3 linked regions of the Drosophila melanogaster genome follow. The protein of the gene in region 2 purifies or fractionates together with the protein of the main gene of each other region. This does not show direct contact. Each region holds a gene or a part of one and is shown on either strand. Other genes may lie near its edges.

The links. Proteins that work in one complex are often made in the same cells at the same time.
Region 1: the proteins of Ns1 (region 2) and CG32344 purify together in Drosophila melanogaster (affinity purification with mass spectrometry, with the first as the bait; one large-scale study listed by BioGRID). This does not show direct contact.
Region 3: the proteins of Ns1 (region 2) and Nop56 purify together in Drosophila melanogaster (affinity purification with mass spectrometry, with the first as the bait; one large-scale study listed by BioGRID). This does not show direct contact.

Annotation. Positions count from the first base shown.
Region 1 is NT_037436.4:319,523-328,177, forward strand, and holds CG32344 (uncharacterized protein), read right to left. Parts: upstream 5,199-8,655; 5' UTR 5,134-5,198; coding exon 5,131-5,133; intron 5,077-5,130; coding exon 4,527-5,076; intron 4,473-4,526; coding exon 3,718-4,472; intron 3,647-3,717; coding exon 3,371-3,646; intron 3,307-3,370; coding exon 2,407-3,306; 3' UTR 2,393-2,406; intron 1,842-2,392; 3' UTR 1,711-1,841; downstream 1-1,710. Other genes in the region: Atac3 (Ada2a-containing complex component 3), read right to left, coding at 5,714-6,172, 6,233-6,302, 6,358-6,452, 6,511-6,836, 6,900-7,017, 7,182-7,202, 7,345-7,557, 7,613-7,966 and 1 more.
Region 2 is NT_033777.3:17,068,254-17,075,786, reverse strand, and holds Ns1 (nucleostemin 1), read left to right. Parts: upstream 1-3,111; 5' UTR 3,112-3,183; coding exon 3,184-3,205; intron 3,206-3,269; coding exon 3,270-4,155; intron 4,156-4,217; coding exon 4,218-4,468; intron 4,469-4,531; coding exon 4,532-4,942; intron 4,943-5,011; coding exon 5,012-5,187; 3' UTR 5,188-5,264; downstream 5,265-7,533. Other genes in the region: Keap1, read left to right, coding at 1-284, 401-606, 671-1,449; mRpS11 (mitochondrial ribosomal protein S11), read right to left, coding at 2,052-2,159, 2,220-2,285, 2,449-2,549, 2,604-2,734, 2,793-2,989; Dad (daughters against dpp), read right to left, coding at 6,652-6,817, 6,887-7,037, 7,101-7,316. UniProt on the Drosophila melanogaster protein: May play a role in regulating cellular proliferation.
Region 3 is NT_033777.3:22,417,385-22,424,398, forward strand, and holds Nop56 (Nop56), read right to left. Parts: upstream 3,685-7,014; 5' UTR 3,573-3,684; coding exon 3,570-3,572; intron 3,407-3,569; coding exon 3,004-3,406; intron 2,939-3,003; coding exon 1,854-2,938; 3' UTR 1,711-1,853; downstream 1-1,710. Other genes in the region: mats (mob as tumor suppressor), read left to right, coding at 4,205-4,218, 4,584-4,750, 4,812-5,290; pinta (prolonged depolarization afterpotential (PDA) is not apparent), read right to left, coding at 6,212-6,410, 6,468-6,697, 6,914-7,014.

The DNA.
Region 1 (8,655 bases), on a different chromosome or scaffold from region 2:
AAACAAGTTGTACATTGACTTTATGGGACAAGAGGAGAGGGCTGCTCTGCTCGCTGCGACCGAGGGGCGAGACACAGACACACACGCAGGCAGGGCGATGTCAGACACACACACACACACGCGCGAAGGAACAAAAAGAGACGCGCCCATAGTGTGTATACATCGTCGATACACAAGGGTGCACGAATGAAGCGGCGCGTACTCCTTTGGACTGTGTTTACCACCTTATTATGCACAGCTGCAGCACTTCAAAATTATCTGTAATCCGCTTCTGCTTCCTTTGTATTCTACTACAAAAACAAATTACGCGACGACCGGACGTCTACACGTCCAAAGCAATCGACTTTTTTCTTCGAATGACGCGTTGCTCGGCGAGTTTGTGGGAACTCGACGGAGACTCGAGTAATCGCTAGCGCGTTTTTCTGCTGGGCTGTGCGGTCACACTGTGCAACGACCTTTTCGGCTCAATAAATATACCATTTACTCGTTGAGTGAATCGGTATTCCCGTTACTCGTAGCGTAAGCGGGTATACTAACCGATTCGAGACTTTTGAATGACTAACCGAAACAAAGAGGTTTTCGAACGTATCTGCATCCTAGTATAATCGGTGACGAGTGAGTCTTCTTGCCGAAAATATCTCATTTGTAGCGCTTGCATTCCATATTGCCGGTGTGAAACCTATCACCCAATTCTGCTCTGGTTTCGTTGCATTTGGTGAGGGCATGAATAAAATAATTTGTTTTTAAGTGACGCTTAGAAGCATTCCTCGCTAAATTGCGCAATTGTCTGAGCGTCCCAAATTAGAAAATGCATGATAAGCTGCCTTCAGACATAGTAATTTAATAGCACACATGCCCACATGTTGAGATCTCAAGGCGTAGATTAAATTTTCCGACCGGACAGCCGCAGCCTGGTTCTGCGTGAGTTCAACAATCTCTAAATTGGTCGTTGCAATGTAAATTGTGCTGCAGGCCACTGCGATCGGTCCCTTTCCCCTGGCGCAAGCCACATTTTTTTGATTGACTTGAATTGGCTCTTGGATATGATCGTCCGCTCAAAATGCTTGGCTGCTATGTGGACGAACAGCTCGCGTTTGGTTTTCCATCTCATTTCACTTGCGTCCACCATTTCTGTTGGGATTTATCTATTTATCTCAATCAATAAGTGCACTGCAAGACAACTATTTTTGTTACACCCATATGGTTTTGTCTCTGTGGACATCGGATATTTCTATTAATGTACAAATTCTGTGACACTAAACTATGATGATCCGAGAAAACGGCATTCGTCGAATCCTTTCCGGGGTTTCCATGCGGATTTTAGAGAAACATATTCCATAAGCACCTCTTGGAAATGACCCTTTACAAGTACTGAGAAAAATCTGGAGACACATGTTCGGAAATAAAATTTGGGCCTATTCTGAGCACCCCTCAACTGCAGAATTAGTGAGCAGAAGTTGTTAAGCGTATGGGTGATCCTGCCCCATGCTCATGTGGCATCTGGCATGTGGCTTCTACCACTGGGTTAATCGACAGCGACTAAGAGAGTGCGAACTGGTCCAGGGGGAATCGAAATAAAACCATATGCGCCCTGAAAGTATTTTTGGAACACACGAACCCAACGAAATGGGAGGATTCGTTGGTTCGGTTGATTTCATGTCATTCCTGCTGCATTTTTGGTGGCTGTCGCCACACCCAAGTCTAAAAAGTGTAGTTCATCGTTTATTGTGTATTATTTTAAAAACACTCTACATCCAGTAAACAAATATGGGGAGTGTTTCATTGGAGGAAGGCGATTTGTCAGAACATTACCCATGCGCTGAACGTCGGTCCCAATGCTTCTGTGGATTGATAAAAAAAAAAAATGATACAATCAGTCGCGGCAATACTGTCCTACGCAATTTCGATTATGTTCATTTATTTATATTAAAAGTAGCAAGGAACCAGTCAATTACGTGACTATCTGCGGGAAGCGGCAGCAGTGCGATATTGTAATTGATGCAGGCACGGAGCTGTTGAAAGCAGATCTATAAACACAGAACGAGATGAATAAGTGGTGGCAGCTGTTTCTTTTTTCTGTTCGTGGGCGCAGGCAAGAAGGCACACAGGATGTGCGTGTCATCAGACAGGCGCGCCCGAATCCGAACCGGAGCCTACCCTCACTTGACCTGCGCAGGGTAAACACACCCTGTGGCACATCTCTCGGCACGCACATACTTCGCCGTGTTCTATTTGGGTCACGTGTGAAAGGAGGACTTAGTTCCGAAATCAAGGGCGCAAAACTAAAAAGCATGTCTCACTTTTGACTTTACAATTGAATGGTGTGCTACTAGAACATTGTCCGTTTTGGTAGGGAGGAGTTAAATGAAAGATATGGTGTAACTGTACTAACCTGCGTAAAAACTCCTACTTCCTTCTTTTCGAGCCCCCAGTTGATTGAGCTTTGGGGCGCTGCGTTTTCCGCATGCTGCGCTTGCGGTTTTCGCTTTTCCTCTCTGCGTTCTCTTCGTTGCGCTTTTTAATGAACTCCAGTCGCATGCGAGACTTGACAATTTGCTCGGGGCGGCGCATCTCCTTGTCGTTTCCGGTCAGTCGCTTCTTAAGTTCTAGCTTTAAGTTGTGCCGCGCATGACGACTGACTGGGTAGCGCTGGGCATGGCTCAACGGCTTGGCGTTTTCGTCATCACTACCTGCATTTTCGCGCTGCAGCTGGTCCTCGATCTTAGACTTCTCCTTCCACTCAGCATAACGACCTGTTTTAAAGGAGGCAGGAATCCACGCACCGGACTCGGTCCGAATTTTGTTGGCTCGCGGATCTTGTACAGAGACCATTTTTTTCTTAATTCGGTCCCACTTCTTAAGGCCGGGCTTGTGCTTCACTTCCTGGGATAAGTCGCGGTCCGACACCGAAAACTCGGCGTTCTGCGCCTGCCGCTCAAAGTTGTTAATGGCCAGACCATCCTCTGTGTGCTTGTCTGCCGACTGGTACGGCACATAGTGATCCTCGTCCTTGCTGTTTATCTTCCGCTTTTTCTTCTTTGGCTTGTCCTTGTAAAGGGCGTCCATGTTCTGGAGCCTCTTGGGCGCAACGACTTTATTGAAAGTACTACTAATAGCTTCCTCGTCGGCGGTGGGCATTCTGCCTGAGCTTGGGTTGAGCGCCTCGATCGTTTTCTTTTCCTCGTCTATGTCCTCTTCTGCGCGCTGCTGCCTAAACTTGTTGATTACTTCCGCATGCTGCATTCGTTTTTCCTTCATAACGATAAACTGCGTGGACTTTTGAGTGGTGTTGAGTTCAAAAACGGTCTGAAAAGGGCACAATTACTAATACGTGAGCGAGCATTTATCGTAAAACTGTTGAGAAACTCACACCACCAGGACGGAAACTACGCATCTTCACCAGTATATCGTGCTTTTCCTCCTGCAACTTGCGCTCTGCGGCGCTCACCTTTGCCTGCGACTCTGTTGATTGTCCACTAGCTTCAGCCGCCTGGGCGAGCACAGGGGCAGCTGTGAAGAAATCCTCCAATGGCTTGAGAGCAAAGAATTTAATTTTCTTTACACGCGCGTTGGCATCCGTGGAGGCTACTGGTCGGGAACTCAAGTATTTTTTGTAGGCGTTTTCGCTGGTGCGCAATACTCCGGCCTGCAGAAATACATGTACAATTACGTATCATTAGAAACCATAAAATGCAGTACACTCCATTTGAAACTTACAATATGGTGACTTTTCTTTATATCGGTCACTGTGAGGTGCTCTTCCTCGAGCAAATCTTGCGGAATGGTTCCCAATGCCGAGCTGTCGTGTATATTAAAGGGTCTGTTCAAGAACAAGTGCAGATCCAGTAGATGTGCTGTGTCGTCTGTGGATACAATAGAGTATGCGGTTCCTGTGCGACCAGCGCGAGCGCAACGACCTACCCGGTGGACAAACAGTTTCGGTTTACCCGGGAAGTGCAGGTTCACCACAAAGTCTAGACTGGGAATGTCAATACCACGCGCGGCCACGTCCGTGACTATTAGCACGGACACCTTTTTGTTCACAAATTTGGCGGTGTTTATTTTGCGTGCAGCTGGATCCAGGCTGGAGTAGACTGAGGCGTTGGAGATTCCAGCCTCAGTAAGTATGTACGAAATGAGTTCGACATGGTGCTGAGTACCGGCGAACACCACGGTTTGCGACTGCACCGGAATAACGTACTTAAGAAGAACCACAAGTGCTGTGTAGCGGTCGTCTGGTCGACAGTACAGAAACTTTAGAGCCAGCGCATCCGGGAGCTTGGATTCGACGTCTAAACGAATGAGCACTGGGTCGTTCAGTCCGGCACGGGCGAACTCTACTAGCAGTTTTGGCAGCGTGGCTGAAAACATGACCGTCTGCCGGGACGATGGCAATCTGTGCAACGTTTCGTTCAGTTGCTCGCCGAAGCCCATCTCGAAGAGTCGATCGGCTTCATCAAACACCACGTACTCTAGAGAGCAAATAAATTAATTCCTGCTTTTATGGTCCGCAACTATCAACTCACCTATGGAATTTAGCTTCAAGTCCATTTCTACGCACAAATGAAGAAAACGACCTGGCGTTGCAACAATTACGTCCGGACAGGTATGTATGGCCGAGAACTGTGAGTCCATGGAGTCGCCACCTAGCACCAGAATGCTCTTCAGTTCCATAAAGCGGCCCAGCTCCTTTATGAACTTATACGTCTGCACAGCCAGTTCGCGCGTCGGAGACAGGATCAGGGCACGGGCCCCCTTTGTGGGCTCGCGCCTCTGTAGCTTTTCAAAGAGCGGAATCAGAAAGCAGGCCGTCTTGCCAGAGCCCGTCTTGGCCATTGCCACCACATCGCGTCCCTCCAGGATCAGCGGAATCGTTTTCCGCTGTATGGGGGTGGGAACCTTGTAACCCCGCTTGGTGATGCCCTTTATCAGCTCGAAGCCCAGGCCCATCGACTGGAATCCACCACTCTTGTTCTTCTTGGACTTGGACTTGAGAATGTCGGCGCCCCGGTCGCTGGTGCCGGCATCGTTGTCCAGTGATGGAAAGCCTGGTATTTCATCCGCCTGCTTCTTACGCTGCCAATGCAAAGTATGTATTGAAAGCTAAGCAACAAGAGACAATCCTCTTACCATATTTTTTTTGTTTTGAATAAAAACAACACGTGCAAAATCGATGACTATTCCACACTATCGATAACTCCATAAATTATCCAACACTGATTTCTTAAAAATTGACTAACGCTACAATATACCGCATTGTAATTGGCGCTTAGATTTTCATTTGATTAACTCGCGTTTTATTATTTTAATATTTACTATTTTGAGTAGACCATCTTTTAAATCGACCATATATACACTGCCGATTAAAATTAGAGGATAGCTTACATATGCCCAAAGGGAAAAAACCTCATAAGACCTCGACCAAACGGGAAAATAACAGATATAAAAGACTGGTGCGATTTAATAGCTATGTAAATGTATTAAATAAATGCTACATCTTGTGCAGATTATGGATTGAAAATGAATTTTTTAAACGATATATTTCTATCGACATCCGAATTGGTTTAAAGCTCTCATAGCATTCAAGTTATTAAGGTTTCGATAAGAAATGGTATGAAATCGTCATTAAACTGGGTGCTTTACAAATGCACTTATCGGCTGAATATCCTAAATATACCTTATCGAACTTACGCTAAACTTATCTTTGCATTAACTAAACGTCCTCTCCAAAATCCAAGTCCGCCTCCGACTCTTGAACCAGCACCATCTGCTCCAGGCGGTCAATGCGCCTCAGCATTTCCTCCTTTTCCCGCTGAAAGGAGTCGGCCCGCCGCCGCAGGTCTTCGTTTTGACGCCGCAACTCGTGAAGCTGGCGACAGATCTCAGAAGAAGTTAGCAGCGGCATCACGTTCGGAGATTTCGGCGACTGCTTCGTCGCATTGACGATTGTCTTGCCAGGTGCCGCCCCGTTGTTTACTGCGCCTTGGCCGGATCCTGCCGAGAGTGAAGGTCGCAGCTGTATCGTCTGGACGGTGCCCACTTGTCCCCTAAGCGAACTGCCCGACGCGGGATGGCCTGAAGGCAGTGGGGATGGGACCGCGGCTTCGTTCTGGCTGTGTGATTCTTCTAGCGCAGTGAGATCCTGCGGCCTTTGCAGGGAGGGGAGCTTTAACTAATTAAGCGGGGTTCAAGTAAAGTAAGGAGGTGAGCTCAGAAACTATTTAATATTCACCTGTCGAGCCTGCAACTGGCGCATGTTGACTAGCTTTGTGCCATCGGGAAGATGCCGCACCATTCCAGAGCTGTCGATAAGGCAAGATCTTATATATATCTCCCAAATATGTGAAATTAACGTACCTTGCCAATGAGGCGGGTATTTTCTGAAGGGACTTTGCCGTGCTGTCCGATCCGTAGAGTTTCTTAAAATCAGTCAACGAGATAATGCGTATATTCTGCCCTCAAATATTAATTATTATACGAATTAGCGAAACAAAACAATGAAATGCATACCTTGTTCTTGGCAACTCCCGCCGGTGACGGAAGATCCTTCTGCTTCAGGACATTCATCCGAATCTTGGGATGAGAATTATTAACATTTGTGCGGAGCGCTGCGACCGAAGGCCGGGCGTTTCCGTTCGTGGATTGCTTGCCGCTGATGCCCGATTTTGTTTCGTGCAGCAGCATGCGTCCTCCTTCAGAGAGGACAAGTTGGCGTCCATTCTGCAACGCAGTGTTCAGCATTTCTTTCGAGTCCTCGTCATCGTTGTCCTGCACCATGTCTGCGATTTCGTGCGTCTTTAGTATGTAAAGCGCAGTGTTCCGCAGGACGTTTGCATCTGGCAGGGAAAATAGGTTTTTCGTTAAATATTCGTTTAATATCTCCGAATCTAGTAACTTACGGCCTCGCATGTTTTCTAGGACATCCATTCGTTCTTCAACCGACATTTCTTTGTCGTCCACGGTTTTAATTACTTCCGGTTCGTCCATTATTGAGCTGACAGCTTCATTGGTTTCCTTCTGCAAATCGATGGGGAATAAATATGATATGATTTTTCTTTCTGCGAATCAATTGGGAATAAAGTATTTGTCACAATTTTTTAGGATCAGGAATGTAGGCCAAAGTTGGGAATGTTCTTGCTATTATTTGTGACAACCTAATACAAGTTGTCGAAAGTACATACTTTGGTCTTATGTGCTTGTTGCTGAAGTTTGATAAGCGCAGCGTGGGAAAAGGCAGCGATCAATTGTATTGTTAAGAATAAGGAACAGCCAAGCGAAACGTAAGTAAAACCTCATATTAAGTAGTAAATATGGCCTTCAGTGGATTTCTTCAAGCGCACTCACCTCCGATTCCTCGTGTAACTTCTTACTGGCCTGCGCCTGTCGTGCCGCTTCCAACTCCGCCAGCACATCCGCTTGTTCCGTGTACACGGCAAGTCCGATCGGCGTCTTGCCGAATTTGGAGACCAAGGTGACATCTGCCTGGCACTTGAGTAGCAGGCGCACAATTCCCTTGTGTTTTTTCTCGACCGCCCAGTGCAGCGGGGTCATGCGAAGCTGACAGGAATGTTGGTTAGTCATTTTAAACAGTCATTTATTTATATATTCTTACCATGTCGCGGGAGTTGACGCTGCACTTTAGCGCTAGCAGCAAGCTGACTATCCGCTCGTGACCGTAGTAGCAGGCTAGGTGGAGCGGCGTTCGGTCTACCTTGGTCTTGCCATCCATGTTAATGCCCCCCTGCAGGAGGATTTCGCAAATCTCCAGCTGATTGTTCATGGCGGCAAAGTGAAGTGCCGACATACCTAGCCAGTCGGAAGCGAAGGGAGCTCCATGCGCTAGCGCCGCCTTGACCCCAGCTACATCGCTGTCTCTGGCGCACTGGAGCAGCTGTTTGCCCAGGTCAACGCATGTGGCCGGACCCACCAGGATCCCCTTCTTTTGCTGGACATCCCCTTCGGTGCGCTATGAAGGAGTCGCCTCGGTTAGTGTGAATTACAAGCAAGGTACCGCGAGTCTTACGATCTCGTAGTGCATCAGGTTGGAGTTCTCCATGGGGTAGACGTGACCATCCGCTCGGAGAGTAGCAACGACTTTGCTGGCGCCGAGACTGTGCATTTTAGCAGAAGAACACTTTCAGGGACGAGTGAAGGCCTATAATTGGCATTACTTCAATAAGTTTATTAAGCAAAGGCTAAGAATGGCTTTAATTATGAATGTTTACGTTTTTAGATCTCTGCGGTGTGACCAGACATAGAAAAGGGCTTATACTCACCTATCAGATAAAATTGTTTTTGAAATAGCTTTCGTCATATAGCATCAATAGCATTAGTTTCTTCAATCGTCTAAAATCATGTTAAACTTAAATCATTTTCTGCGTTGCCGTTTTTTACATTTAAATTTAAATCACAGCTAAATCCTGTAAGACATTACTTGATCAAAGTAATAATACGAAGGATAAGGCAATCGAAGCTGAATTTATTGGTATATACCAAAAAGGAAGAATAGGTATCGATAATCTCTACATGACGAAAGTTTCTGATCGATATCAAGCACGGTCACACTTTATCTTATCGTTTTTACAGTTCGCGGTTTCGAGGTTTGCAACGCGCAATGAGCAAACTTAAACTAATTTTGTGACTCGGTAATCAAGT
Region 2 (7,533 bases):
GACGACATGACGTGGACGACACTGGCAAATCTACGCATTCCAAGATCTGGTTTGGGTGCCGCCTTTCTCAAGGGCAAGTTCTATGCGGTTGGAGGCAGAAATAACAACATTGGATCTTCCTACGACTCGGATTGGGTGGATCGCTATAGTGCAGTCACCGAAACATGGCGTCCGTGCGCTCCCATGTCCGTGCCACGCCATCGAGTGGGCGTGGCCGTGATGGACGAGCTGATGTACGCCGTAGGCGGGTCCGCCGGCATGGAGTACCACAACACGGTGGAATAGTAAGTAGTGTTCATCATTTCAATAGATAATAGTTTAATTAATTTGACAAAGCCTTTCTGGTTGTTTATTCTATCGACATAGTTTAGCAAACCCTATTTATTTAAATCTCTTGCAGCTATGACCCCGATTTGGATCGCTGGACTCTTGTACAGCCGATGCATGCCAAGCGCTTGGGAGTGGGTGTTGTGGTGGTCAACCGTCTGCTTTATGCCATCGGAGGTTTCGATGGAAACGAGCGCTTGGCCAGCGTGGAGTGCTACCATCCGGAGAACAATGAGTGGAGTTTTTTGCCACCACTACAAACGGGTCGCAGTGGAGCGGGTAAGAATGACTGGCGCATCCTGTTATCTAATTTCCAACTAAGTTCCGATTTAATTGCTATCAGGTGTTGCTGCAATTAACCAGTACATCTACGTTGTTGGTGGCTTCGATGGCACCCGTCAACTAGCCACCGTGGAGCGTTATGATACCGAAAACGATACCTGGGACATGGTTGCGCCAATTCAAATCGCACGCAGTGCTCTCTCGCTGACTCCGCTGGACGAAAAACTGTACGCCATTGGTGGATTCGATGGCAACAACTTTCTGTCCATAGTCGAGGTCTACGATCCACGAACAAATACGTGGACAACAGGAACACCACTAAAATCGGGAAGATCGGGTCATGCGTCGGCGGTTATTTATCAGCCGGCGTGTTCCACCACGTTTATGGACTACGAAGATAGTGACGCCCCACACCCGGATGGAAGTAACAACGGGGAAAGGAATGCTCATACACCACAAAACACGTACGGCAGTGGGAGTCCACATTATCCTGGGACGGCGTCCAATATGCAGTTTCATACTTCATACGGAATGAGCGGCTGCAACAATTGTGACTCGGAAATGGATATAAAACCATATATTCCTGCAGAACACCATAGTTTTCAAATTCCCGCCATTAGATCCGAGGAGCTAGTCAATCCAAACTGTCCTTGGTCCAGAATGCAGGAAAGATTTCGAAGAACTCCACCAGCGTCTTTCACAGATGATGAGAGAAATGCTAATGATATGCGGCATAAATTAAAAAAAGCACAAAAAGAATGTTTATTTAGCACAGCAGCGAAAGTTTTTCACCATCACATCGAAGGTCGCCTGCGAAAACTCACGAGCGCAGCCACATGACAATACGAATCCGAGCCTCACGCTTAGCCTCAACCAAAAACATCATTCATTGTACAAAGCCTGATCGTATCCCCTAGAATTCCATGTTGAGAAGCAGCATTCCATTGTAATATTACTTACTAGTGTGTTCGCTAGGTGATAATTAGTCAAACCGTTTTTATGGCATCCATAACATAACTGGCGCTCGTCAGCCCATTTTAAAAAGATTGATTAGGGTTAATAGTTGATTAGTGGGAGGAAAGTTCGTATTTTACGTATTTTGTAGGTATCCAAACTGATAGATTGCGTATTGTACTTTTTTTAACGTAGGATAAGAAGAGGAATTATGCGCATCCAAAATAGGTTTTAAGAAAAGAAAGCAAATAATTTAAGAAAAATAAAACAAACATATTTTACAAAGTTATTTAATCTTTTTGCTATTAATCTTGTGCAAACCTTTGGCCGTGGCAACAAAAAGGCCATATTCAAATATCTTCCTAATAAAACTCACCGTGACAGTGCTATTTATTCCATTAGAAAGATAAACTGTTGTTTTCGTATTTGTTTGTAAACGACTATTTGTGTATTTTGCTTTTAAACAAGTTGTCTTAACAAGTTGCACATTAAAGACTTCTCTGCTTTCGGGGTCTTGGAGGATTGAAGGAAACATGTGTGTTGTCGGTAATGGAAACGATGTTCAGCCCACCCATTTGCAGTCCTTTGATGGCCGACTGAATCAAAACATTTAATTATTTTTAAGTGACATGAGAGACAAAAAGTATTGAACATACCATTCTTCCAGGGCCAAGACCACGAACCTTTACTCGCACTGTCTTCCAGCCCAATTCAATGGCTTTCTGAAATACAATTTAAGTTTTTTGTTTTAAATGATTCTATGCCCATATTATACTATTCAAATGCATATATGGTATACAACTATAATGGAGATTATCTCGATGTTCTATGTAGTTTTTGACCATCCTACTTTGGTAAAACCTGTTTCTTGTGGAAATGACTTACTCCACTAATGGTAACCGCTGTAGCTTGAGCTGCTATGTTGGTTCCCTTGCGAGTGTTTTTGAATCCCTCAATTCCACAGGATCGTATCAGCCGGAGGACTCCTGGAAAGAGGGATACTTTAGATCACAGTTAGAGTAACGTTCCAGATGACCCACCTTTGTGATCCGTGACGGAAATAATTGTGTTGTTGGGTGAAACGCGAATGTTGCAGATGGGCAGCTCGTTGAAGGGTATTCCATTGAATAACGTGTTGGCGGTGCTGGCATCCGGGAAAAACTTAGCCTTGCTAAATGGAAAATTAATTGAATTCAAGACTATTTACAAATGTAAAATTGAATTCCAACCGGTTGATAAGTGTGTCGATGTCCACGGTCTTTTCGCCCACGGTTCCTTCGTCTTTGGCCGGTAAAGATGCCAGCATTTCCTTGCGGTCCTCCGCCTTCCGCCAGCAAGCGCTCGTGTGTATCCTAGAAGTCTGGAGCGGCACAGCGGGCATAGTAATACTCCGAAGAGCACTTAGAAATACACTTTTCAGTGACATTATTAATTTACTTCGCAGAGGGTTCACAAAAACCAAATTACATCACACTGCCAGTCTGGCAACACTGGCAGTGTTGGCTAGCACGCCACAACAAGTGGCCACGCTTCGTGGTGACTGACAAAAAGTCAAGAAGAAGACTATTTTCACGTGTTCTTGTTTTAAGTTGGTTTTGATTCCGGTTATCCTCGTGTAAAATGGCTTTAAAAAGGTTGAAGAGTAAGTAATAGTATATATGTATATACATTAAATGAAGCTCTACATCTATTGTCAAAATCCACAGCCAAGAAATCCAAGAGGCTCACCGGTCGCTTGAAGCACAAGATCGAAAAGAAGGTGCGGGACCACAACAAAAAGGAACGTCGCGCAGCCAAGAAGAATCCAAAGAAGGGTAGCAAGAAACAGAAGCTCATCCAGATCCCAAACATCTGTCCCTTCAAGGATGACATCCTCAAGGAGGTGGAGGAGGCCAAGCAACGTCAGGAGGCCGAACGTTTGGCTCGCCGCGAAGCCTTTAAGGCGGAACGCGAACAGAACAAGTTCAAGACGCTGGAGTCCATGGTCGAGGATGCAGACATGCGGAGCACCGTGCACGGAATAATGCACGAAAACGATGCCCAGGATCAGGACGAAAAGAAGTACAAGAACGCCGTGACCAAAGAGCAGTCATTGAAGCAGTACTTCAAGGAATTCCGCAAGGTGATAGAAAATGCCGACGTTGTCCTGGAGGTGGTTGATGCACGTGACCCCCTGGGAACCCGCTGCAATGAGGTTGAGCGCGCCGTTCGCGGTGCTCCGGGCAACAAGCGACTGGTCCTGGTGCTCAACAAAGCCGACCTGGTGCCGCGAGAGAATCTGAACAACTGGATCAAGTACTTCCGTCGCAGCGGACCTGTCACCGCCTTCAAGGCTTCCACACAGGATCAGGCCAACCGGCTGGGACGCCGCAAACTCCGCGAAATGAAAACCGAGAAGGCTATGCAGGGTTCTGTCTGCATTGGCGCTGAGTTGCTTATGTCCATGCTGGGCAACTACTGCCGCAACAAGGGCATCAAGACCTCGATTCGCGTTGGCGTCGTTGGAATTCCTAATGTAGGCAAGAGCTCCATCATAAACTCGTTGACCCGCGGCCGGTCCTGCATGGTGGGCAGCACGCCAGGAGTGACCAAGTAAGTTCATATTTATCCTTTATAGTACCTCGAACTTATACGATATATATTTATTTTTGCAGATCAATGCAAGAAGTAGAACTGGATTCGAAAATCAAACTGATCGATTGTCCTGGAATCGTATTTACCAGCGGAGGTGAAAACTCGCATGCAGTTCTGAAGAATGCACAGCGTGTGGGCGATGTAAAGGATCCTTTCACCATTGCCGAGAGCGTATTGAAGCGTGCCAGCAAGGAATACTTCTGTACGATGTACGATATTACAAACTACGACACATTTGAGGAATTCTTCGCCAAAAAGGCAGCCAGAATGGGTGAGTACTATGAATGCTTACTGCTGTACATGATAATAATCCATTTCTTTACCTTAATTATAGGCAAATTTCTAAAGAAGGGAGTGCCAGATGTTGTGGCTGCAGCAAGAAGCGTTCTCAACGATTGGAACACGGGCAAAATTAAATACTGCACACAGCCTCCGGAAGTTCAGGAAGGGCAAAGTGTGCATATAAGTGCCTCGATAGTACACTCAGAGGCTCGCGAATTTGATGTGGAGAACTTTGAGTCCATGGAGACGGAAATCTTAGAGCATTGCGCCGTGAAAACGGATGACATTATGGAGATAACGTCTACGGGGCCTTTAGAGATTCGACAGCCGCGTGAGGAAGCCGAACCTGCAGATAAAATAACTGCCAGTTTGGTAATAGACGAGAAGGAAAAGCCCGCAAAGGGTCGCAAACGAAAACTGGATGAGGAAAAGGAGAAGGTTGATCCCAGTCTACTCCTAGAAGGTAAGCAAATCAAAACCATTACCATGGAACATAAAAATGTATTAACGCTGTGTTATTTATAAATTCTAGAAAACCAATCACTGAATAAAGGCATAAAGCAGATGCAAAAGCTAAAAAAGAAACAGAATGTTCGCAACGAGAAGAAAATATCCAAAATTACAGACGTTCTGGATAGCTTTAGCTTAGGTCCATCCTCGTCCAAGGCAGAAAAATACGATTTTGATGAGGACTATGTGATTGAATAAATTCTGCCTTAGTTTTAATAATTAAATCTGTAGATAGTACACTATAATATAGAAAGGTGTAATGTCTCTGAAAAACTAATATAACTTTTTATTACTTTGGAAGGATGGCTGCATCCATTTCAGAATCGCAATTGTGTTCCCTTCTACTGGGTATTTCACTGTATTCCCTCAAAGAAGATGAACATATTGTAAATGTTTAACGTGGATCGCATTTATTCTTAGAACGAAATACATACAAGGCTGGGATTCTAGGATGGCCTACATGCAGTTTGGTTTGGTAAGGGGTTAAAGATCATCTAGCGCACGGATTTCAAATAGAGCACCAGTTCCTCGAATTCGCATTTGCTACTGTTGGAAATGCAAACGAAGTTGGTGCTTCGTCAATGGACATAAAGTGATTACAGATTTAAATAAAATTATTCTATGGTATTCAGCTCATGTAAGTATCGTGTTGTGATATCTTTTTATACACTTGACAAATGACAGATTTTTTAATTTAAACAATGAATGTACGTAATAATGACAACGAAAACAGTCAAAATATCAACATAAAACAAATAATGTTCGAACATGACGTGTGCTTTCTAAAGCCGATTGGATCCTAATGCGCTAGAATCTAAAACCGTATTGAATTTGTTAATGGTGTTTTTTTGTTAGCCTAGGATCTATGCAGATTCTACTGAACAGATTTGTATTTCAGTGATGTTTGGTTTCATTTGGGTGGGGTATAAATTATGGGCTTGGGTTTCTTCTAAAAACGTCGCATAGAAAATGTAGTGGCTTTTTGAATGTATTGCATCGTAACTAGACTTTTCGCCATTCTCAAAACTATTAACCCTGATGTGCCTTCTGTTAAGTATGTATGTTAGATTAAATATTTATACATATCATATAGCTACTGGCAATGGAGCTCTAGCCCCTTGCATCGGTACGTCCTACATGTGTATATATATAGAGTGAATCACAGGATTTCAATTTTTGCTAAGTATTTTTAACAATCAATTACTATGTATTTCGGCTCGACTCGCTACGACTTCTCGTCACCGCTTTCTCTCTCTCTCTCTCTCTCTTTGCTCTCTCTCTCTCTTAATGCGACTCAGATGCGTTAAAATTAATTTCGATGTGTCTACTAGCAGTAATTGAAACTTGTTTCGTAATTATGTATATTAACATTTAAAATGATTTCTTTTGCAGTCCTTTGTTGTTCCAAATTATTGGTTGTTTAGTGTTTAACTGGCGGCTCGATCTCCTGCCCGCCAGACAACGCCATCTCGTCCTCGCCGGACGATAATCCGTCAGTGCGCACACCTGCCTGCACAGCCTGGTCAGCAGCTTCTGCGCCTTCTGCAGCAGTTGGCGCGATCGCCAGCTGCTCACCTGATCGCAGGCGCATCCCATGCCCGGCTCAACCAGGTGCTGGGATGCCGAATGAGGTCCTGCCGAACGGGCCAGCATCAGGTACTGTCACCGCAGATGACTAAAGTGAACCTCCAGCCAGCAGGGGCAGCCCATGATATCCTGTCTTTTGTAGTCGCGTCCCCAGCCCTTGCCAAAGCTGATCTTAATGCTGAAGTAGTCGACGGGTCCCATGGGATGATGTCCGTGATCTCTCATGCTCAGAAGTTCAGCCCTGCGAAAAGGAATAAATATACATCATAAGAGGCTTTGACAACTGGTTAACTTTATTGACGGATCTTACCTATTGGTTTCAAAGGCCTTCAGACAATAGCCCGGCATCACTTTGCACACTCGGTCCAGATTTTCGGACAGGGTGGGTGAATCGACAAAAATGGTTGTATTCCCACGATTGTAGATCCAAACATCGCCGTTCTCCAGACTCAATGTGACCCCTGTGAGGCGGACCGGACTCCGATTAATATATCTTTTCACGTTAGTAAATCCTTTTCTCTTACCCAATCCGACCGTATGACGCGCTTTTGGCACCACCGAGTGGATCTGATTGCCTGCTGGTGTGAGGTCACGTAGGCACATGCTGTCCACCTCACTGGCCACAATCCCATCCGTGTAGATATTGACTGCATTCGTTTTGGCGTGAAAGAACTCCCCGACGCGGTGGGCCATCTCCCAGTAGGCGATTTGGCACCACACCTGACTGTTGATGTTATGATCTGAAATTTAAGGAAAACACAATGCTGTAGATGCAGGTATCTATTTGGATAATAATAATTCCAAAAAACAGTTTAAGAAATCGTAATTATGTATGTACATGCTACTGCAAAGATTAGATATGAATGAATTTACAATGTCTAGTTAAGTTGCTTATTTATTTGTGAGATTGTCAACTCATTAAATTCATAAAGATGCCTGCGATAAAGTTATTCCCAT
Region 3 (7,014 bases), 5.3 Mb from region 2:
TACACTAAGCATATTTCTTGTTACGGAAAAACGAACAATTTTTTACTGAAATATTTCCGAATTAATATATGATATATATGATTAAATACAAGATTACTTCATACTTTACATCAATTCTCATACAAACGTTAACGCTGTGTCCTTAAACATTTTCTTATAATTGTATAAACTAATAATAGACTCGAGAGTTAGGTATTTGCTAGAAATAAGACAACAGTTCTAGGAATTATTTTTTAAATATCTATCGCCCTCGAAGCCATTGTATTCCAGGTATACATATATGGATTTACTTCATTTATACTACTTTCTTTTGTTTATTTGTTTTTCTCCTACTGCATATTTGTATTGCAAACCACACACACATTGGATCCAATATTATTTCTCAAATATATACATACATATGTACTTAATAATGATGAATTGAAAAGCATTTCTCAATATTCCGGGCATTGTGCGGCCTCCGCAGCCACGGACTCATTAGGTAAACCAATCCAAAACGGCAATAGCCACATAACAGATACGAACCTATTCTTTCCTTCTGTAATTGCACTTGATTTGCTGCGCAAACGCTTCCGAGTAGTGACCACCTCATTAGCCGATCACCAAGTAGCCGCATTCGCAATTCTATCGAAGCCACATATTTAAAACAGCTTTTTGTGAAACCAAAATAAAAACGAAAACTGAAACCCCGAATAACATTATTATTGCATTTGTTTTTTTCCAGACAATATGATGCCTCCCATTCCCGCCGTCACGGGCAATAATCTGCTCCAGCCCATGTCGGTGACCAATAATAACAATAATACCAACGGAGGCGCAGTCCCCGCCGCTGCCAGTGTCCAGTCTACCGCTGTGGGCGCCACCTGGTCGGGCGACCTGAAGGGCGGCAAGATGAACATTGACCTGGACAATCTGCTGATGAGCAAGTCGGGCAAGCCCAGTGCCCCGGCCCCTTCGATGAATGCCCTGAAGACCAACAGTCCGGCAAAGGCGCCACTGAATGTGCAGACGGGTGGCGGATTCCCTGGACTGTCGCCAATGACCAGTCCGAACATTTTTGGGGCTCCGGCACCGCAGCAAAGCATTCCACAAAACCAATCAGCATTTGCCAACTTTGGAGCTTTCCAGCAGCAGCAGCAGAATCACAGCAATAATAACAATAATAGCTCGTCGGCATTCGACTTGTTTCAATGATATTTTTTAGCCTAATTTAACCCAACCAACCTACTACCCAAAATGTCCACTCTCACATTCACATTTCCACGATCGCTAAACTTGTCAGTTCTATATATTATTTACGTTTTCCTTTCCCCTTGCTGTACAAAGTTTGCGACACGTGCAATTTGTTTCTAAATTCGTTGTTAAACAATTTACCCCCGATGCAATTTTCCGGATCAAACCCATTAATTCCACATCCGTCCTGATCGTCCACTCGGAATTTGAAAGTCGTCATCAAATGCAATACACAGAGTAGTTGAATAATGGTTGTACTAAACGGATTCGTTAGCACAACGCGCGGACGGACGGCTGAGCGATCCAACATTGAAATTGTTAAACAAAATACTACACGTAATAAAATCAAACAATTTTAGCAATAGTTAACGTTACGATGTGTCTGTATATAAATTGAATGTAAAGCAAATATGAAATATAAAACAATTGAAACCAATAATTATGATAGTCTCTTGATTTAAAACGCAAACTCATAAAATTCCGGTGGGAATACCCTCCAAAGTATATGTTTATTATTATTTGAAATGCGATCCATCAGGGGGTCAAAGGAAATACAAAAGAAGCATGTAAGTAAAAGATAATAGTGTGGACTTAAACTAAGTTGAATGTAACAGAGACATTTACGCCTCCACCGCTTCCTTGTTTTTGTTCTTCTTTTTCTTCTTCTTCTTTGGCTCTCCATCATCGTTGCCATTGCCATTTTCCGCCTCGGCGGCTGCTCCGTTTCCATTACTGGCGCCATTCGTCTCGCCCTCGTCTTCAGCCGCTCGCTTCTTCTTTTTCTTCTTTTTCTCGGACTGTACAGTGATTGCCGCCTCTTGACCAGCTGCCTCGATGGCCTCCTTCATTACCTCAATGTTCTTGCGCGGCACATCGCCGGACTCGTAGAACTTGAGGCGATCTTCGACCTGTTGCTTAAGAGTTTCGCCAAACACGCTAGTCGGCTGTTCCAGGAAGCAATCGATACGCGACGCGATGGAGCACTTGTTGGCCAGGAATCGAGAGATGCGACCCTTGTTCTTCAGGCCAGCTCGACCAATGAACGAGGAGTGATAGATAAGACCATACTTGGGCGTATTGGAGCGGGTCTTTAGAGCACGGAAGAGCGCCTTCTCGGCACCCAGGATTTGTACTGTAGATGCTGGGTACTTGGCCAGATTAGTCAAGCTGCCGGCATGCGATATCAGGCGGGCACCGACCTGGTCGCCAATCAAAGACTGCAGATTGGGTGCCACCAAGTTCATCTTGTTGTGCAAGTAGGTAGACAGTTTCTTTCGGTACTCGGAAAGCTTGACAACGCGCTCTGCGAACAGCTCAATGTTCATCAGATCAACAATGGAGATGTCCATGCCCATGGACATCTTGGCGGCATCAATGATAGCCTGAGCCTTGGCGGAGTCCATGACGATCTTCTCAAGATCCTCCAGCTGGTCTTGCGTGAGGTTCTTGCGATCCTTGATGAACTTGGCCGCCTTGGCGAACATGTAATTGTCGGGAACGATTTTGACCAGTTCTGGGAAGTGATACGAGTACCACTCGCGTATCCGCATAGAGAAGGTATTTACGTCCTTATCCAACTGATCCAGCAAAGCAATCGACTGGATGATCATGTTGTCGGAACGATGAACATTGAACTTGACCTTGGCACGCGAGTAGCTGTGGCCCAGACCCAGCTGAGCAACGCCAGCGGACTTGTCGGTGAATCCTGCATCGGATGGAGGAGGCTTTAGTTAGACAAAGAGGATTTTCCTTGCAAAGCAGGTAGCTTACCCTTGACCAGCTTAGCGAAGTGGAATCGCACGCCGCGCAGAATCTCAGGAACCACTCCAAAGTGACTGCACTGGACGCCAATGGCCTCGGTGATTGCAGCTCCCAGCTTGGCATCCGCAATACCCAGGGTGCACTTCTTCTTCTTCAGCTTGGCAAAGAAGTCATCCAAGAAGGAGAGCAGATCCTGCGGCACTATGCCCTCGGATATGGCATTGATGTTTTCCAGTGCGGCAATGGCCGTCTTGAAAGGTGCAAATCCAGCCAGCTTAACAATTGAGTTGAACTTGGCGAGGTCCGTCACCGAGGACTCCACCTGGGGCAGGAACATGGACACCTCTTCGAACTCCTTGACGGAGAAGAGCGAGAAGCCCGCCGCATGCTCGTACAGCACATACAGGTTCGACTGGAGGCGGGGAAATGAAAAATTATCAGTCTGATGCGGTGGCAGACACATGTGGTTTTGGGTGCTCCGCGTGTGTAGGTTAGTTTTCGCAGGGAAAACATTTTCATTTCACGGGCAACCCGCAGAAAATTCAAATATATGATTATTGCACTGAAATATTTACCATGTCTATGCCGAATATATGCCGATTTAATTAAGAAATATATATTTTTATACACCCACGATGCTGCTACAGTTGTTTTCCCACGTGCTTACTTCAAGTGTGACCATAGCAAGCCGATTGCGAAATGTTAGGGACATACCAGATAAAATACCGCAGTACCGTACTGAATTATTTTAACAGGCTGGCCACGTTGATAGCCTGATAACCTGTCGCGTTGTCCCTCTCGCACTTTCATCAACTGTCTCTGTGTGTGAAAGCAATTTTATTTTTATTTATAACAAATTTTTTGCGTTTATAAACACAACAGAATTAACTAGTTGGCTCGGCACACTTCCTGGAACCGCTCGCATCAGCTGTTGGGCTACGGCACTAGTTAACAGACCGACCAACTGGAGGCCAGATACAGATACCATCATTGTCATTTCCCAATTGACCAGAGAAAGAAACCTGCTGCGAATTCCAGTCACTTTTCTTTAATTATTATTCGGCGCTAATTGTGTAAAAATCGGCGGAATAAAGCTGCTGACACGACACAGAAGAGCCGAAAAAGCGGTGTGGCACTCGCCGGAAAAGTCTACGCATAGGAAAATTCCATTGGAGGCTCAGTGAAAGGCGAAGCACAGCAATTGCATGCCATGGACTTCTTGTTGTAAGTTCTCAGGGGGGCAAAACGTAGTGCAACTGCAATCCTTTCGAGCACAAAGAAAGCTTGGATCACCCCGCCCCACATCTGACTTTCCGGCTTTGTTTGCCCTTTTTGGGGTGATATCCCCAACCTCTTGTACAGTGGAACTTCCCTAATTTTGTCTGCGGTGTTTAAAAAATAGCTTTTCAAAGATATCTTGCATTCTTCCTCAGTGAATTTAAAAAAAGAAAAAAAAAGGAAATATTTCTTTTAGGGAGTGTAAATTGAACGAAGTCGCTTACGTTTCAATCTATAGAATCTTTACTGTATTATGTTTTACTGAGTGGGGCTGTTTGGGGCCGCGACTTATTGCCTTTCTCTTTCCACAGCGGTTCCCGTTCCAGCAAGACCTTCAAGCCCAAGAAGAACATCCCGGAAGGCACACACCAATATGATCTCATGAAGCATGCGGCAGCCACGCTGGGATCGGGAAACCTGCGCAATGCAGTGGCCCTTCCAGATGGCGAGGATCTCAACGAGTGGGTGGCCGTTAACAGTGAGTCTAGTATAGTGTAACTAGCGAAAGATAACCAATTCTTATTGCCACTCCTTCGCAGCCGTGGACTTTTTCAACCAGATCAACATGCTGTACGGCACCATCACCGAGTTCTGCACCGAGGAGACCTGTGGCATCATGTCGGCTGGTCCGAAATACGAGTACCACTGGGCCGACGGTTTGACCGTAAAGAAGCCCATCAAGTGCAGCGCGCCCAAGTATATTGACTATCTGATGACTTGGGTGCAGGATCAGCTGGACGACGAGACCCTGTTTCCCTCCAAGATCGGCGTGCCGTTTCCAAAGAACTTTCACTCCTCCGCCAAGACCATACTGAAGCGTCTGTTCCGCGTGTATGCGCACATCTACCACCAGCACTTCACAGAGGTGGTGACGCTTGGCGAGGAGGCCCATCTCAACACGTCCTTCAAGCACTTCATCTTCTTCGTGCAGGAGTTCAATCTGATTGAGCGGCGCGAACTGGCCCCGCTGCAGGAGCTCATCGACAAGCTGACGGCTAAGGATGAGCGGCAGATATAGGAATCACTGCATGGAGCCGCGAATTTTCGCGATTCCGGCGGCGGTGGTGGTGGTCTGCGCTTGCAGTTGGACTTGTGATGAAAGCGCTCTGGCAGACTCGTGTATTACGCTTTAGTTAGTTACCGCCAATACTTTTATGTTTCGTTCATTGCTTCATGGGGTGCCTCCCACTAAACAAAAGAAAACAAAAAACCGCCAATTGGCAATGTGAACCGAACTATAGCGGGCTAATTGCTGATCCAGAGCAACTACTATATTTTTATATGTGAAACGTAAAAACGTATAAATCATATTTATATGTATATGTAAAGGAGAAAACAAAAGCAGCAAAAGCAACAGCACGCCTTTTATAACTAACACCTCCCGCTTTCGAGAAACAACAAATATTACGTTCACAAACTATGCGTGTTTCCTTGTTTATCGTTTTTCTTTCTGTATGTATTCTATGTATTTATTACTATTAAACTATCGCTAATTGCTCGCGGTTCAGCGGATCAAGCGATTTTGTAATGCAAACCCCAGCAATTTGAGGCGACGGTCGGCAGCACCCAATAACTGATAATAATTGTAGACTTGATAAACATTTTTGATACGTTTTATACTAATAAAGAGAATATTATGAATAAACTCGTCTCTTTTTTGTTTGGTTTATCGTGTATTGACACTTTATTAAGCAAAAAAAAAAAGATAACATTGATGATTAACACAACGAAAATAACCTTTTTTAAAAAGGTTTAACGTAATGACTTATAATATATACAAATATGGTTAAGTGGGGAATTAGGGAGTATTTGTAGTACCCTTCCATAAAATATGACAACTGATATGCGCCTTTGTGCATTTGCGCATTGTAAATGTTTTCGACTAATCTATAACATTCGGCTAATCGCCTTGTTATCACTGCCGCCACACTAACCCCAATCACTTGAGCTTGCTTTTGTATTTGTCTTGTTCCACATAGAAATCGGCGTTCTCCTCGACCAACTGCTTCCACTTCACAGACAGCTCCATATAGCTTAATCCCTGACCACCGAGTTCCTTTGGCAACTGATCGCAGCTCACGGATGTTCCTTCACGACGCACGAAAAGTCGCGATCTTATCTTGGGCGTCATGAATATTCTAAAAAAAATGATAATATATAGTAAATTCTAATTTGACTTAGAACATACAACCCACCTAAAGGTGTTCAAAAAGAAGTTCACATGGCGCGGGGCGTTGGTGAATTCCAATAGCTTGGGCTGACATGGATATGCGGTCCAGCTTTCCACGGATCTCTTGATGAGCTTCGGATTCATTTGAAGAGCGTGCCCCAGTTGAACGCCCTGCATATCCAGAATAGCCACCATTCCGCGGGCACAGGTCTCCGGATCGAGCTTTAGCAGCAGGTCCAATATCATTTTGCTGGTCTGGGAAACAAAGGTTGGAGATATAAGTATATGGAGGAAAAAATGTGGACGAAACTTATCGTATTTCATATTATTAAAATGTTAAGTTATTTTTTATTAAAGCACGAAAAGTTCGCCTTCATGACTATGTTTAATTTGTTAGCTACATATAGTTTAAGACATTTCATAAAATCGTTGTATTTTATTTTTTCCTGTGTACATATTTCCATGACTCACTTTAAAAACATTGTTCTGGCTGTGGAGCTTGGGATCGTGTGCTGCTGTGCGTATGACCACCACCATCCTTTGTTCGGCATCCGGACCGATGGGTAGGAAGA